Linked DNA regions of Caenorhabditis elegans. The protein of the gene in region 2 interacts with the protein of the main gene of each other region in a pairwise test. Each region holds a gene or a part of one and is shown on either strand. Other genes may lie near its edges.

The links. The genes of interacting proteins can lie anywhere in the genome.
Region 1: the proteins of ets-4 (region 2) and cebp-1 interact in a two-hybrid assay, tested with the Caenorhabditis elegans proteins (one study listed by BioGRID).

The regions. Positions count from the first base shown.
Region 1 is NC_003284.9:1,452,188-1,455,904, forward strand, and holds cebp-1 (CCAAT/enhancer-binding protein homolog 1), read right to left. Parts: upstream 1,682-3,717; 5' UTR 1,672-1,681; coding exon 1,519-1,671; intron 1,470-1,518; coding exon 724-1,469; intron 675-723; coding exon 614-674; 3' UTR 508-613; downstream 1-507. UniProt on the Caenorhabditis elegans protein: Transcription factor. Binds to promoter regions of target genes, perhaps at the motif 5'-[AGCT]TT[AGT][TC]GAAA[ACT]-3'.
Region 2 is NC_003284.9:6,517,160-6,523,186, reverse strand, and holds ets-4 (Transcription factor ets-4), read right to left. Parts: upstream 4,252-6,027; 5' UTR 4,156-4,251; coding exon 4,140-4,155; intron 4,081-4,139; coding exon 4,009-4,080; intron 3,956-4,008; coding exon 3,807-3,955; intron 3,393-3,806; coding exon 3,309-3,392; intron 3,258-3,308; coding exon 3,218-3,257; intron 3,105-3,217; exon of another isoform or gene 2,896-3,104; intron 2,741-2,895; coding exon 2,594-2,740; intron 2,548-2,593; coding exon 2,356-2,547; intron 2,225-2,355; coding exon 2,139-2,224; intron 2,032-2,138; coding exon 1,956-2,031; intron 1,904-1,955; coding exon 1,802-1,903; intron 1,755-1,801; coding exon 1,395-1,754; intron 1,341-1,394; coding exon 1,273-1,340; 3' UTR 531-1,272; downstream 1-530. Other genes in the region: Homeobox protein ceh-60, read left to right, coding at 201-271, 324-404. UniProt on the Caenorhabditis elegans protein: Transcription factor which binds to 5'-GGAA/T-3' DNA consensus sequences. Both positively and negatively regulates the expression of target genes. Plays a role in the regulation of adult lifespan, which may in part be through modulation of daf-16 activity.

The DNA.
Region 1 (3,717 bases), 5.1 Mb from region 2:
TCCTAAATGTAAATTTTTTGAGCACTGATGAATTTATTTCTATTTAGATAAAATCAGCGATCAAAAAGAAAAAAACAATAGAAAAAAGGCAAAAATAATAAAGCGAATTTGAAATTATCAAGGCAAAATTAGTTAACACATGTTCAGGGGGGATAGGTTTTCAGACAAAAAATGCACTAGTTGACTGGAAGGGGAAACATTACCAGTGGTGTAGGGATTGGAAGAGGATCTGGTTTTTTGCTACGTGGTGTTGAAAGGAAGTTAAGGAAAATTTTCCAGCCAATTTCGAGTTATTGGACTTTGAAGCGCAAGAGGCTCTGCGAGCAACTCTCAAAATATAGGAAATTTCAAGTTTCACAACTAAGTAACAAAATAACTTGCCAGCAAGTAAACGGGGGGAACAGATGAAAGCTCAGCTTTGGGGGGAAGGGAGAGAGATGGAATAGAATTATGTACGGTTTGATGCTTGTTTTACACTGGGAGACTAGATTGGGATCAATGAAGGGGGGGGGGGGGGGGGGGTCACTGGAATGATGGGGGGAGAATGCCGTGGAATAAATATGAGGATCCTAGGTGTCTAAATTATTGATTGGTTAATTGATGAAGCTGCAGGTTACTTGTTGAAGTTCTCGAGGATGTGGCGTTGGGGCATGCGTTGCTCTTTCATCGGGCCTCTGAAATTACAAATCGTTGAGAAACACTAAGGGTTTTATTCTGACTCACTTATTCCTGAGAAGCTGCTCCAAGGTGTCCTGGTCCCGACGTCTGGCGTCACGCTCGGACTGGAGGAGCCCTTCAAGCTCGGCGATGCGCCTCTTCATCTTGTCGTGCTCGGCTTCCTTCTTGTCCTGGAGCTCCTTTGCCTTTTTACGCGATTTTCTGACGGCATCATTGTTCCGGGCTCTTTTCAATTTGTAGGTCGGCTCAGCCTTCTCCTCGTCTGCCTTGAGTTTGTACTTTCTTGCTCTGGTCTGTGGCTTGAAGTTTTCCAGTCCGGCGGATTTAGTTTTCTTGCTCTTTGGCTCAAAGTAGGAGTCGTCAACGCTTCCGTCGTTATCCGTCATATCGCTGGACTCCTCCGAGTATTCCTTCTGGTAATCGTCATAAGGAACTGGGCGTTTGACAGCTCGGCGGGTCTTGGTAGCTCCGAAATCCGGTGTCTCAGCTTTCACTTCACAATTCATCTTGTACCCATCCTGATCATAATCCCCAGGCACTCGATAGCCAGTGCCGTACGCCACGTGGCGCTCATATCCGTTCAGCTCCGGTTGTTCGTAAGGATGCTCTCCGTCGTAAAGGATGTTGCACTTTTGGAGCTCGGCATCATCAAAATCCACATTGTCGGTAGGAACGTCAAGATCGTGGAGCACTTGCAGGTAGTCGCCAAGGTCCAGCTCAGTTTCCATAAAGTCCACTGGATGGCGTTCGCGGTCACGTTGCTGGAGGGATGCGGCAATGGTAAGAGAGTCCTGAAAATATCGATGACTAAGAGTGAGCAAGAGCACTTTATCCACTTACTTGTCTTGCGAAGGATCCGGCGGAGGAGGTGGAAGCTCCGTTGTTCGGCATGTCAGTGAACCCACGTACCTCGGATTGCTGGAGTCTTACCAGGTGTGGATGCTTGAGGGCCTGGTCGCCCTTTTGGTGGCTGTAGTTCAGCTTGCTATACATTTTCTTTATTCTGAAAAAAATACACTAAACTTAAAGAGAAGTTAAAGAGAAATAAGAGCAAACAGTTTGCGAAAAGGTTTCGAATGTTCTCGGTGAGAGGCGATGAGAAATAAAAAGAGAAACAGAGAAAGCAAGGAGGAAAAATGAGAAAAGTGAAATGATGACGTCATTGCCGCCGAATTTAGCAACCAGCTGCATAAGGGTGAGCAAGCGCTATGGGACACACCCAGAAGGTTATCAGTAGTTATCAAATGGGAGTGTGAATAAAATAAACTAAAAAGGTTACATTTCTTACAGATTTTAGAAACGATAACTCAAACTTTTAGACTTGCTCCAACACTAGAAAATGGATAAAAAATAGATATTTAAATTGTCTATAAAGTTGAAAAATTGTCAGAAAGGAAATCGACATCACAAATGACTATGTAACTGCTAATTTAAGAAGAAGGATTATCAACATAGAAATCGGCTTCTAACACTACAAAATACTCAAACCAGCTCGAGGAGCCCTCCACCAGACCCAACCGTCTCCGGATTGCGAAATGACAAACCCCGACACTTTTTTCCACGTCGACTTATAGCCATGGGCGGGGCGAGTTGTGTACAATTAGACTCCAAGGAGATGGATGAATACCGACGCTAGGAGGCAGGGCGCAAAGTATTGCGAAATCGGCGGCAATGTTGTGTTGTGAGAAGAGAGGAGGGGACAGGAGACGCAGAGCTTGCGATGAGTCACAACGCCGCCTCTGCGTCTCTTCCCGCTGCACACTATGCGGGGCGAGAGGAATGGGAGAAGCGCGAGTGGTTTTGTTGTTTGCTGGGAAAGACGCAGAGAAACCGAGGGAACTGGACTGTGAGTCATACATGTCATGCATACTGCAAAGTCATGAAAAACTGTCGTGGGGGAAAATGGAGATTGTAGGAGAGAGAGAGAAAAAAGAACAAACTAAATAGAATTGTTCCAAATTTGAACATGGTGCATCGGCTACACACTTCGACTGGTAGCCATAAAATAATCATTTTTAGTTAAAAAACTATAAAACAAATACTATGTTAGTTGGCAAATTGTTATAAATTCATTCAACATCTGTTCAGTTAGAAGGTAACGGCTCAACAAAAACTATTGCTCATCGTGCATCGATTGGGATCACAGTTCCCATTCTAGATCCTTGCTGGTAAATATTCCTATTTTTTTGAAAAACTATAAATTTTCAACTTCAAACCGCTAGAAAACGTAATAATAAGAATTTTTTCAATTGAAAATTTTCTGAAAATCTCAAAAACAACCAAGTTATAAGCTGTTCAAGTTAGAGTGCAATACTAAAGTGATTTTAATACATGGTGCATCGACAAGAATCATATGAACTTGACAGTCCATGTGTTGGCACGATTTTAGTTCTAAACTTATTTTTGACTACAAAATTCGAAAAATGTGATAAAAAAGTATTTTGTCAATTGTTGACAATTTATTACCGAAATCAAAAACAACCAAAATATTGTTTTCAAGGTATAAATTTATTCTTTACTACAAAATTATAGAAAATGTGACAAAAACAAATACAAGTTTCTCAAGTTAGAGAGCTATACTGAAAGAGTAATAACTAAACATGGTGCATCGATAAAAATCATATGACTTTGATAGTCTATATCAGGGCTGGGCGGCAATTGCCGTTCGGTAAATTGATTTGTCGACAAATTCGGCAAATCGGCAAATCGGCAAACCGGCTATTAGCCGATTTGCCGGAAATTTCCAATTCCGGCGATATGCCGGTTTGCCGATTTGCCGGAAATTTTAATTTACGGCAAGTTGCCGACTTGCCGATTTGCCGGATACCAGATTTGCCTGAAATGTTTAAAGGGGTTTTTTATAAGACGGAAGCACTTAACACTGTCTATTTTCGAATTTTTCTCGTTTTTTCTACATATTTTTTATAGAATATGCGTACTTCTCAAAATAGATATAGGAAAATTCATATGATGCGTTTAATTTTGCCATTTGAAATTGAAATTCCAAAAAATAAGTGCAAAACCACAATTTGCCGAAAA
Region 2 (6,027 bases):
TGTGTTGGCATTTTTTTTTGATAAATGTAATTATTTTCAGGTTTTTCTACGTGAAAATTTCAAATTTACATTCATATGTGTCTTATAGTTTCCGCAAGTATCAATCAATTTCAGTTGATGATTTTTGTGTTTTGCATTGCGATTCCCATGTAACCGCAAACAAGCCATCCGTGGTCACCGCTTATCTTTGCTCTTTTCAGCGTTTCTCCATCAGCCACACTATTTTACTGCCGGAGGACAAATGTCACTCAATGATAATGGAAATGGACAGGTAGCTCAGCAAAAAAAGTATTGACGTAATGACCCTTCGTTCTCTGTTTCAGCAATTCTTCACAGATTATGAGACCTTTGGACTTGCACAATCGGATACAGAGTCGTTCAATCAAATGGGATATCTAGGATGATCTACTTTGATTGAGAAATTAAATGTTGAATTCGAAATTCGTTGTGTTTCATAATTCATCTTTTCAAAGCTTTCCTTCATTTTCATGTTTATCTTTAGTTTTGCTAAAAGCCAAGTTTTATATTTTGAAAAAATATTTATCTGGTTCATTAATATATAATACAATCTGAATAAATAATTGCACAATGATATAAAAAAACACTGGGACTACACATTGTTGTAATACAATTTCTTTGGGGGATAACTAGGCTAGTAAACAGGGGAAGGAGGCTGGAGTATAAATGGAATGTAAAATTAAAACATTTTTTTGATACAATATTATAATTGTTATAATTAACATAATCATATTGGTATAAATACAATCGGGAACAGTTCAGTAAAACGCTTATTTTTCTGTCACTGGTGGATATATGAGCCGTTATTTGGTAAAGTATTTGGGAGAGAGGAAGAGTTCTGACATGAGAACGAGAATAAATAGAGAACAACATATTGCACGGTTTCAAACCGGTAAATATTGCATTACAATAAATAAATCGAGTGAAACAATATTCAGACATCTGAACTACACACTCTAAATGGTAATAACATTTGTAATACTTTTTGATTGTTCCCAACAATTGAAAAAGAATGAGAAAAAAAAAGAAAATAAAGAAGTTGAATAAAACCTTGAATGATTGACTCGGGTATTAAAAAGAAGTATGGGACACAATAGGAATATGTTCTACAACGAACAGTACATGGAAGTATATCTTGAATCACAGATATCGGGAAATGGGACCACACTGGACCGACAGGACAAGTTGAAAAATGTAAACAGAGTATTGACACATACACAGATAGCAACACGTCGTTGTCTTTCTGCCAGATGACTACAAGTTATAAGGAGGCAGGAATTTGTACACCAAACGCTGCTTCTTTTCCGGCTTTTGGATGATTCCTGGAATATTGATTTGTAACGTTTTTGTTTTACACTTCCTCCTATTCTTTTTACCTTTCTTATAGTACTGTCGAAGACTTCTGGACAACTTGTCATAATTCATCTGTGAACGGTTTTTTCGTTGTCCCCAATATCTAGCCAGCAGGAGGGAAGACTCGATTTTAAAAGTTCCCTCATCTCTATCCACCCATCGAACACATGCACTGTACTGTTTTGGTTGATCCAAAAGCTCACGAATAAACTGCCACAGATGAACAGTTCCTTGATGACGAGTGTAGGCACGCTCATCGTCATCTCCCTCGCTTCCGTTGCACATTGCGTCAATAGGGGAGTTCATGTAACCCTGGTTGTGAAAGAAGTTTGAGAAACCACAGTTCGAATTGTTCATGTGAAGATCAATATCATCGTCATTCACTAAAAAACTCTGAATTAGTTACAGTACTAATAAGCCCGTGTCATACTGTCTTGACTGCTCCCATTGCTGCTGGTATCGCTGTTGCTTGGCGATGGCAAAACAGTTCCCTGTTGAAAGAAGCTGCTCATCGACATGTTTGGATACCCTCCTATAAATACAATTTACTTATTCACATCAAACGCTTCCGGTTCGAAACCAACCGTTTCCATTGAAAAATGGATGATTCGGGTTCTCAGCAGCTGCCATGTTGTTTGTTTGATTGTTGGTGCTGGCTAGCTAAAAATACGAGAAGGCTTTATGAAAAAAACGCATTGAGCAAATAGGGGTACAAAAAGACTGCGCGCCGAAAATTCTGAGGAATGACATAATCAACATTTACATACCCAATTAGTTTTTGACTGCATGTTATTTTCGGCAGCGGTCATTCCGGAGCTCTGAACGGTCACGGGTGGATGATAGTTTTCAAATGCTGAAATTGAATTGGATTGGTGTCTCGTTTTCGTGTGAGCATGTCACTGATAACCGTCATGATGACAATCAGAAAAAGGGCGTGATTTATAGTCATGCTAATCGCATCACCTTTCACGTAATCTGACGTACCGGTCTTCCACACTTGGAGTTGGGCATGCAACGTGTCGCCTCCCGCCGGCAAAATCATTTCGAAATCTTTTTGACTCATGCCGAGCAAATCAATACCAGTGATTGAACAGTTTCTAGGCGGCTGAAGATTGAATTGCATGCACATCTCGTTGATCCATCGTGCTCCATGCTCGGATGACCACAGGTAGAAATCTAGAGACCAAAAATATAAATGAGGTATTGTGGATAAGTAATGTACCATTTGGAAGTCCCAATTTGGCACAAGTTGTACTGATGTCTTGAATCAGATGACGGAGAATCAGGTCCCTGTAGATGTCAATTTGCTGGGTGTCAAGACCGTTGTCTTGCGCAATCTCCGGATTGACATTGAAATTGAGAATGTTTTCTGGAACTTTTTCGTGGTAAACATTCAAACAACAAGCATTGATGCATATCCATGTATCACCCGCACTTTTCTAACCCTGACACATTTCCATATCTTCCTAATATCTAAGCCCTTTTCTTTTTTACTTTGTAATGGGTCACAACTTTGTTTTCTATTGTGGTTAGCCAAAGCAGCTTAAAAAAACATGACCCCGACCCACAACTAATTCGGTAGCCGCTTGGAAAACTTTCACTGGTCAATCCAGGCGTGCCGTCAGCCAGAGAAAAAGCTGACCTGTGCCTAACTACCCTAATCGAAGGAAAACGTGTTTTCTCAATAGTATCTCCCGCCAAACGAAATGAGATGTTTTTCGATGAAGGGATAGTGAAAGTCCGAAAGGGAGAAGAAGGCGTTAAAAGAACCCGAGATTATGATTGACACCATTCAAAACAGTCGTTAATGGTGTTTGTATGTATCTAATCCATCTAAAGTACCAACCTTCAATCTCATTCTTCACAAACGTGCTGTGATCGGCGTCCTGCAAATTATAATAATACAGAGGGGTCAGTGTGATAATCAGTAAAACTACCTTTGAGAATCGACGGTTATACTCGATGGGTTGGATTGGAAGATTGCATGGCATATCCATCGGATGTGGTTTGACGTTGTTTACCTAAAATAGTTGTACATTGTGATTGTTTCCAACGTGATTAAAATGCAAAAAAAGTCACTCAAAAAATTATTTCTCTATTTTCTCCATCAATCGGGTCTTATCAATTATCGCATCTATGACGTAAATAGCACGCACGTGTCTTACTGTGAAAGAAAATGAATATGAGAACAAATAAAGTAAACTAAATTTCAAAATAGCAAAAAATTATTGAAGCTAACTTGCGTTTAAAAAAACATTGATGATTCAACTGATTGATAAAAATGAGTAAGGTGTGTTTGTTACTCTCATTTTCCCAAAAACGTTCTTATTTCAAACTTCAATTTTGGTAATCATAACCAGTTTTCAGAGCAGGCATAAAATAATTAACGCAACCACACCCACATGGTCTCAAAAAAGAAGAAGACAAAAACTTACCTGGTCGATTCCGAATAGATCATCATCAAATGGGAACTCGCTTTTAACAAAAGGAGTGCTTGCGGTTGACTCCGTTCCGGAATGTGGCTCCGGGCTCAGAGAATTCCATCTGTGACCGACTGAGCCAGTACCGTTCATTGATGAAGAATCTAGAGTGACAAAATACTATTGGAAATATTATAATTCCAACCGTCAGACTTACAACTTCCGTACTTGTATTCCAAGTTGTTGAACGGGAACGCGAATTGGTTCAAACCATGAAATTGGGTCTCGCCTGGAAATTAGAAGATTTATCTTTCAAATAAACACTATGATGAGAGAGGGTATACGTACAATAAGCAGCAGTCATATTGAACAGTACAAGTGAGATAGTAATAAAAGTTAGTACTGAAGATGGTAGGTTAAGTCGAGACCGAAGAGTAGTGTCGACCTGTTTGTGCACTAGAGTAGTAACGAATAAAGTGGCACTGTTAATCAGTCAAATTTTATTTTATCGCTAATTTTCGCTATTCCCAACCCCTTTTTTTGCTTCGACTCGGAAAAGTTATCAGCAGAGCGTCAAGCGATTTCTGGCGCGCGTGAGGTTGACTAGTGTGACACTCCTAATCATTGCCTCGCTCAGTGTCACATGAAACCAAGCTTTTCCAGAAATAAGCTGATAAGTAACAAAATGAAATTGATGGCGCCAATGGAAAACTGAATTGAAAACTCGATGATCTATTACACGAAATATGTTTGTTGGAGAGTTAGCATTGATTGCGTCAATTAGGGGGCAAAAGCCCATTTTTATCAGTGAATCATGTTGCACACCAATTCAATATTGAATTGAAAACTGATCTAATTGCTGACAAAATACTGAAACGTCATTAAATAAAACGTGAGAAGAGTTTGAAAAAATTTGTGGTTGAAAAGACGATATCAAATACATATTCGCAAGACATCGACTAAAAAACTAAAAAAAGATCAATCACTGAGCCGATCGAATATAATAAAATAATAAATAAAATGTACTGAGCTTGAACAAAAGTGTGGGGGTGGGGGGGGGGGGGGGGAAGGGTTCTAAAATTGATGAGTCAGGTTGGTCGTGTCAGACACGATGGGACCTCTTTCAATGGTGCAAACTACGCCGCGCCATCCCCCCATAATTCAATGCAAATGAACAAACCTTTTCTTATTCATACTACATAAGGAGTACAGGTAAAGAAGAAAAAAGAATGTGCATTGTGCACAATTTTTTTCATTATAAAGAGTTAGGATGTCATGAAAATTGGAAACAGGTTTATTGCTAGAAATTGGGAATGCACGTCATTGAATAAACAAGCTACAACGTGGCGGACCAGAAACATGGGTGAATCTATAAATTGAAAAATAATGACACGGTTGAAATGTTTTGAAATGTGTTTCAAGTCTATACTAAGTAGTGGACTCTAAGGTAATAAGTTTTAATAACTAACAAGCTATCTTGACGAATGAAAATCCTAAGAATCAATCGGTATGAAAGTGCACACAATTCTCTCTGGAATTGTGATGATGCGTGGGTCGATTTTTGCTCCTATTTTTTTTTTGATTTCATTGTCCATTAACGTTCCCTGGAGTCAAAACACATTTAGCTGGCTGATGTTGCAAAGAAATTATGACGCACTGTCTGATTTTGTTTGTCGCCTTATAAACTTGCAAAAAAATTACGTATTTGATAATATTCTGATATGCTCAACTTTTGCATTTCAGTGCCACAGTTTAAGCCATTGATAAGTCTAAAATTCTCGTGATTGATTACGATTTGCATCATAAATCACTAAATCATGTAACCCGTGTTTATCGCTGGAAAAAAGAAAACATTTAAAAAAAGTGAAATTTGAAGCAGCGAACTAAACTGCTGATAAAAAAGCGCACTCAGCAATTTTTTGTGAGCTGCCTATCAAGAAACAAAAGGGAAATGAAAACTTAAAATCATTGTGAGAATTATTGTTTTTTTTTCACATGCGTTGTATCTCCACAATGACAAAAATACCCTGCTGTCGCGAGAATTATTTGACTTGGTGTTTTGTGCTTTTCGTCAAAAATGAGGCAGCGGCAATTCGCAGAGGTCCAGAGCGCCTGAAGTCGTTTTGCAAACATCCAAGTGACCGGCTACCGTACGGCACCAGTGAAGGCTCTCTGTCTGCCAAGCCGAGCGAGCAACAAACAAAACAACTGGCTCAGCTCCTCGGAGCACTCTCAC